2 linked regions of the Oryzias latipes genome follow. The protein of the gene in region 1 interacts with the protein of each later gene in a biochemical or structural test. Links are inferred from orthologs where the notes say so. Each region holds a gene or a part of one and is shown on either strand. Other genes may lie near its edges.

Region 1 (3,500 bases):
TGGAATTATTTTGCTCGGGTCCATTTTAAAATGGAAAAGCTCAAAATACCGTACTGCTCAGTGGAAACAAGGCTGAAGGGTCATTTTCTTCCATGTGTATAATCCTTGAAAATGTACCTTCCCTCCCTTTATATATATAGTTGTTCCCATCATAAGACCCTGCATGGCAAATGAGTTCAGGTGTGGTGATGGAACGTGCATCCCGTTGAATTACAAGTGTGACAACAGAGCTGATTGCCGGGACTTGAGCGACGAGGAGACCTGTGGTAAGCGGCCATTATGATTATCCTCTAGTTTTGTAGCTTGCTGCCTAAGTTCCATTAAAGCAATCCATTTCTTTTTTCTGTCTTGCTAATAATCAACCTCTTTCCTTCTAGGTTTTATCGCTCCAGTCTATACAACACCTGCACCAATCACAGTCCCTCCCATGAAAGTTTTGCCCCCCGCTCCACCTTTACGCTGCAGAGCGGATCAGGCCACATGCCAGAGTGGGGAGTGTATCTCTCGTGACTACATCTGTGATGGAGAACGGGACTGTGCAGATGGAAGCGATGAATTCAGATGTGGTAAGAAGTTGCACAAGATATGTAGTCTTCTATTGAATGCACTTGAGTGAAAGTTCAATTAAACACAGCAGAGAGCCATTTGTGTTTGGTGATTTATTTATTTGCTGTGATAAAGCTTCTTGGCATTAAATCCTACACAGTTGGGAAGCCAGTTTATTTCCTTTTTAAATGGTGCCACATTTAAACAAGGAAACAAACAAGACTTTTCACCATGGAATTTTAACACAAACAAAGATACTAAAATCCCCCAAATTCAAATATTCATACTTTTTGTGCTAAGATTTCTCGTCGAAGATGAATTCTTTATTTAAAAACTATTAAAAGTAAATTTTTAAAAGAAAATCTATCAAGGCAAAGCACTCTTTGAACCCTTTTAATAAAATTAAATATAAAAGAAATGGGATACTTTTCATTTTTTTCACATAGAACAAAGGTATCTCTAAATGCATTTTTACCTAAATAAAAGAAAAAGTCTGTCTGGAAAAATTCTTTAGACGAATCTGTGTTCCTATGAAAAGGTCTAAATTTAAATTACAGTACAGACCAAAAGTTTGGACACACCTTCTTATTCAAATTAATGGGAAGGTGTGTCCAAACTTTTGGTCTGTACTGTTTTTAAAGGTTATGTAAGGTCAAGTAGCTACAGGTAGTTGCCAGAGGATTACAACAGTTATAATGTAATTTAACCAATCACAATCAATAACATATTCACAGTTTTTAGAAAGTGCTAGGGGCCAGATATTACTGATTTTATGACAAAGGCATGTGGGCCAGTAAAAATTTGAACGTAGGCCGCACTTGGTCCACAGGCCGGACTTTGAACATGCCTGTTCTGTATTAACAGAGAATTAAAAGGCCTTTATCATGCTATTCTTAAGCCCTTCAGCGTAAACTATATCCAAATACATGATAATATATTACCTTTGGAACACTAAATATCAACTTTTAAATGAAAAATTAGTTATTTTCCCAGCTAATTTTCCTACCTGGAAGGAAGACTACTGGATCTGAGGCACCGGCTTTCAGTCGGTGTGAGTGTCGCCCATTTCATGACGTCAACCTAGAGCCGGCCTTGGCAGCATGTCTGCATTTCGCCCACGAAAACAAACATCTGAACTTTCGCAAAGATTAACAAATTCTTAGTTGGATTTGATATGGTCATTCATGTTACAGAAAGAGTGTTTCAATTACAGAAATTTAAATTCAAATCCATGAAAATATTTCAACAACCAAAAGCCAAAATAAGTACACTTTTTGGTATGTGGTATTTTATTAACCAATACTTTTTTTTTGGTTAAATTAACAAGATCAAGGTACCTGCAAAAAAAGCCCATACCCTACCAGCTACAGCAATGCAAATGTGTCCTCTGTAAAGGACATTTCTAAACCTGAATACCTCCTGACCACTGGATACTACTGAATTACCTCATTTTGGTATCTACAGAAGACATTTGGGGCTTTTCAATGTTACCAAATGTGAAGGGGTGGGGCACTGGGAATTGTAGTTTAGCTGGGTTTTTATTCACCAAGAAAAGTATTGTTTTTCCTGCCCTCAAAATTTGTACCTATATTACCTGAACAGCTTTGCATGCTTTTTAGGCACTCCATCACCTTGTGAGCCAAATGAGTTTAGGTGTAAAAATGGCCGCTGCGCCCTCAAGCTTTGGCGCTGCGATGGTGACAATGACTGCGAGGATAATTCTGATGAAATGGACTGTCGTAAGTCTGAACTCTGTTCTTTCCATGAGCTGAAACAACAATTTCCATCTGTATTTTAAAAAATAAAGGGTTTTTTTTCACTGACATGCTGAAAGTGCTCATTTTTGTGAGCTGTTACGTTGTTGTTTATGATTACCAATAAGACAACCCTATCTGACAACTTGTTTCCCAAATCGCCGTCCCAAAATATCAGACGTGTCTTTCTGTTTCTATCTATTCATCACTGCAGCTACCAAAGGCCCTGAAGAGCAGTGCGCATCTAAGCACTTTGAATGCGTCAGTGATCGCAAGTGCATCCCAGCTAGTTACCAGTGCGACGAAGAGCCGGACTGTGCTGATCGCTCTGACGAGTACGGCTGCAGTAAGTCCCACTCCAGCAGCTGGATCTTTGTTTTCTCTCATGAACATTTCAGTCTTTTTTTTTGGCACGCATGCTGTGACAGATTAGCCACAGCTCTTGTCAAACATCTGTTGAGTGAGAAACATCTTTTTCTGATAGACTCATTCGTGAGAACTTGAAGGAAATTCTCCATCCATACTTGGGAGTTAGGTGTCAGGCATTTATGTTTCTTAGCCGGGTAGCCAAAATGTACTCACTTAGCGGCTCTTATTTGTGCATGAATAGATGTCTTGTTTTTCTCTAATATCCATTTGACACTTTTTAGCCCCTCCCACTGTAACAACCCCACCAGAGGAGTCCATCCAGGCTGTACGGGGCTCAACTGTTATGTTCACCTGTCGGGCTGTTGGCGTTCCAACCCCAATGATCACCTGGAGACTCAACTGGGGACACATTCCTGTGAGTGGCAGGTGAGTTGATTTTCTTATATTTGGCTTAACGTATCAAAAATCCGCCCAAATTTTGTTAAAGTGTTTCAGAGTTTTTTTTTTCTCTTAAACACGGTCCTTGGGGGCATATCTTCTGTACCATATGTTAATCGCACCATCATCAAGCTCTTTTCAGGCCCAATTGTCAGGGATGCACCAGTTTTTTGCTATTGTCACACTGCGCATGTCACATGCGTTGTAGGATGAGCTAAACACGCAGTTTTGAAAAGACATTTAGCAGATGCTGTTCACACTGGACTGTTGCTACCCAATTCTAGCACATGAGTTGGCACTAGAGTTGGAAAAAGCTTGGTGCGAAATGTCAAAGTGGTGCATATCTTGCAAATTATGCTCCAGGCTTTTTTTTACTGCTCTTTTCCGATATCT
Region 2 (4,140 bases), about 5.9 Mb from region 1:
TCAACGGAGGTCAAATACTACATGAGGGAACAGGCTATTTGCTCCCTGCAACACCAGGAAATCTCTTTAGAGTGGATGTGGTGTCAGATGTTTGTGAGGATATTGTTTGTATTTGTTACTGCACAGCTGATTTGTTTTCATATTTAGAGCGCTGACAGTGTAGAATTTAGATTAGAACCATACTGTTGTTACAGAGGAGATAATTCGCTTTCAAAACATTCTGAAGTATTTTACAACCATATCACAGTAGTCCTTCACAAGAAATACTTATGTGGTTTAGAAATTTGCAAAATGTCTGAAAAATCAACAACAAAATACCTCTGATGGCATTTCTGCCTGCCAAGTTTTCGAATACCCATAGAATGACGGTTGTACTCCAGTATTCACAATTTCTGCACAGAGTCAACACCCTCTTTTATGCAGGAAGCTCCATACTCTGTCTCTGTATGTGATCAGATTATGAATTTGAATGTGAGTGTACCACCAGGATGAACCTAAGCTCAGAGACATAGGTAAAAGGTTTGTGCTGATTTACATGTAATTCTGACTCTAAAGCAGTCGTTTCAGCCACTCAAAATGCAAAAGTTCTGTTGAATAACCAATTTTTCTAAAGGAATTGTGTGTTCTTGTGTGCTTTTTGTTTAGCCTTTTTACAAAGGTTTTTGTTTCGGGGTATTATGCATCATAAATTTCAGTTGGGAAAACCTTTTCAAGAGAACTCAGGAAGTCATTTACAGCATGTGCAGCCCTGCTTGCATTTGAATGAAAAGAACAGAGCAAACCAATAATAGGAAACCAACAGATCTCTGTCACTGCTCCTTCAAAGGAAACCCCTTAGACAAAGTGACCACATGGCCCACCAGCACTTCAGGCACTTGAAGTCAGTCTATTCACCCAAAGAATCAGATTTTCTCTTTTTCCACTCGAATTAGTCACTAGGTTACATTTAAGATAAAAATAGTAGAGAAATAAAACAAATAAAATAACAAAAAAATTGATAAAGAATGCAAGAAATGAAGCACGTCTTATTTTTGTGCTTTGTTTATTGCTTATCCCTATAATTGGCACATGACAAGGAAGCTTCTGCTTATGTCACTGAGACAAGTTTTCTTTAAAGAGTTCAATTTCTCTATTCCAATCAACTTTGGGGTCACTTAGAAGTTAGATGATCAAATTTATGGGAAATGCCACTCCATGTCATCATTTCTCGCATTAAAGGGTGAACTGCGTTGAAAAGAAATTAGTAAAAAGAAAAGAGTAGCCTGGAAAAGTTTGTCTGTGAAGGTTTGTCCCGCCCTCAAGCGCAGGGGCGCTCCCCTGATTAAATAGGAGCGATCAGGGCGCAAACTTTACGCACACGTCCCGTCAGAAGCTCTGAAGCGCAGCAGGAGCGGGAGCAGGAGGTAAGCTGAGTCTCTATTTCCCTACAATTAAAAACTCTCCACGACTTTGAAAACAGCGAGTTTTGATTTCCAAGGGGCATCACACGAGCATGAGCAACTACTCTGGTGTTAAAGTGTTTTCATCGCTGATTTGAAGAGATCATATGAGCCTGCTCTTTCTCAGGAGGCTGTGTCGTGACCCTGCCAGGAATGTAACAAGCCTTTAATATAGTTAAAAGATCATATGACAGCGTGATTCATCACAAATGAACTGAAGTGTACATTTGGACCTCCACGGGTATATTATGTGCAGCTGTCACGCATTATTGTCTCCTGGCTCTGTGCGTTTGTTTGCACTCTCTTGAAAGTGGATATGCTGTGCATGCGCACAAACACAATAAGGGTAAGGGTAAGGGTCAGTCCTGATCAATCAGCCACTCTACATTATTCTTTGGAAGAACATTACAGTGTTTTTCACTTAGGTTGCAAACCCTTTGTGCCACAATCTCTCTTTTTTTTTATTGAATTTTTTGTGTCGCTTAAAATGAACTTTGGTGCCTTTACAGCTGACAGTGGTAGGGTACTATTAAAGCCCCATAACAGTCAGCCTGTGCCAGTTGGGGACTTTGAGATCTGGTAAAATGATTCTGTACCTTTCTGCACACAAAGGCCTCTTTGATTCACCAAACAGAGTTCCATCAGGTTTTAGGTTGTTTTATGACTGAACTATGAAGGTTTTCAATATCAAATAAATCTTGATGGACCCTACGGTGAACTAATCTGATTTCAAGCAAATGCATTCCACATTTAGCTCACATTTAACTCAAAATATGCATGGCAATTTTACTTTGAAGGTTGCTTCTGTTGAAAGAAAACAAACCTTTAAGGTGGGAAAGTGTATCAAGGGCCTAACATTGGTGATGTTAAGTTAACCATAGCTCTATCTGATAAATCTGAAATTTACCTTGCTGTGAAAACACCAATCATTTAGACCACTAGATTAAAAAAAAAGCAAAACAGAAATAGCATGCAAGTTTTTCAATATCTCACGGGATTTAAAGTCACACTAAATCACACCTGATAAAGTTGGTGTTGCCATTTCCAGTATGTATGTTAGAAGAAGAAAAGCTCTTAAGCTCGCTGAATGCAATCACAATATTGAATCTCTGCCAGTGCCAACAGTTGCAGGGGAGAAGTTTGCCAAAACAGTTTGTGCTCCACCAGCTTAACCTCTTTGCAAACACGTTCGCATTAATCTCCAGCGTTCCCACTAAACTCTAAGGATGTTGGTTACCTAATTAGGATATATTTTCACATTAGTAATGATAGAAAAGCTGCAGTCTTTACAAAACATCAAATATTTTCATGTGGCAGGCTCAGTATGTGCGGCATGATAAAAGCACCATCTTTGTTGCAGCTGAAAAACGTGTTGGGTCATTATTGCACACATTTCCTCCGCTAAGCTTTCTTGGCAAATTTCTATGTGAAATCAAACAAAAACCACATCCTTCCTGCTGTGTCATGTCACAGCAAACGGCTTAGAAAAATACACATTCCGCAGGTGATAAAACGGATGCAGATAGGTAATTAGGTTGAAACTGAATATGCTTTAAAGCAGGTTAGAACACAAACCACATAATAAGACCCTAATTTGTTCCAGTGTGAACTGTAAATATATGACTAATCCCTGTTCACTTTCACAGGCAAAAAAGGTTAAATTCTGTCCAACCTGGAAACAAATGACTCAAGACTTCTGAAGAGCTAAGACTTTGGCATCTTTTTTTCAGCAGAATGACGATTCAGAAGTATTCCTCTTTTTTCTGCTTTGTGATTTTAACTTTGGACATCTGTGCAAGCCAGAAAGACTGCTCAGGTGTGGTCTGTCCCGTTCTGCAAAACTGCATCGAAACTGTCTTAGAGACAGGTGCCTGCTGCCCCAAATGTATGGAAAGGGGATGCATCTGCGAAGGGTACCAGTATTACGACTGTATCCAAGTTGGCTTCCAAAACGGGAGAGTCCCAGAGGGAGAATCCTACTTTGTGGATTTCGGAAGCACGGAATGCTCCTGTCCTCAGGGAGGAGGGAAGATAAGCTGTCGTTTCATTCAGTGTCCTGAAATTCCCCCAAACTGCATTGATGTTTTACAACCTGCAGATGGATGCTCTGAGTGTGGGCGGATCGGCTGTACCCACGGCAACAAGAAATATGAGGCAGGACACTCTTTTCGGGCAGACAACTGCCAAGTTTGTCATTGTCCAAATGAAGGGGGCAAGATAATGTGCTCACCCATCCCTGACTGTGACTTACACAGTGTTGATAAGTCTATAGGGGTGACGACTACTGGGAACAGCAGCCCATTCAGAGACATAAGCGGCGGGCATGGCACTTCACAAAAAAGTCTTGTGGAGCCCTTTTCCAAGCTTGCACTGGGAAACACTCTGCCGCTGTATAAACAGGACCCACCCAGAGTTGGCTCAGAGGACCATGACTACTCTCGGGAAGAACCAACATCTTCTACTATTTTGAATTTGGCCCAACTGGTGGAATCAAGTACCTTGCCCTTGTCTTACCCAGAGTCAAATGCTACTTTAATCTCTCATGGTGGCAGGAGGAATGAGAAGAAGCAAACTCAAAGAAAACCTAATCTAGTGAGGAGCACTGAAGAAAAGCCTTCACAGAGCATGAATCAAACTTCTGCAGGGGCGCAAACCAGAGCATCACCTACAACCACAACCAAGGAGGGAATGGCCACAGAGA

Evidence for each region. The genes of interacting proteins can lie anywhere in the genome.
Region 2: the proteins of hspg2 (region 1) and fibulin-2 form a complex in vitro, tested with the Homo sapiens proteins (2 studies listed by BioGRID). The link is inferred for Oryzias latipes from reciprocal best matches to the Homo sapiens genes HSPG2 and FBLN2.

The regions. Positions count from the first base shown.
Region 1 is NC_019865.2:23,380,635-23,384,134, reverse strand, and holds part of hspg2 (basement membrane-specific heparan sulfate proteoglycan core protein), read left to right. Parts: intron 1-140; coding exon 141-266; intron 267-377; coding exon 378-566; intron 567-2,165; coding exon 2,166-2,285; intron 2,286-2,514; coding exon 2,515-2,646; intron 2,647-2,950; coding exon 2,951-3,095; intron 3,096-3,500. UniProt on the Homo sapiens protein: Integral component of basement membranes. Component of the glomerular basement membrane (GBM), responsible for the fixed negative electrostatic membrane charge, and which provides a barrier which is both size- and charge-selective.
Region 2 is NC_019865.2:17,508,126-17,512,265, reverse strand, and holds the start of fibulin-2, read left to right. Parts: upstream 1-1,340; 5' UTR 1,341-1,403; intron 1,404-3,085; 5' UTR 3,086-3,173; coding exon 3,174-4,140. UniProt on the Homo sapiens protein: Its binding to fibronectin and some other ligands is calcium dependent. May act as an adapter that mediates the interaction between FBN1 and ELN.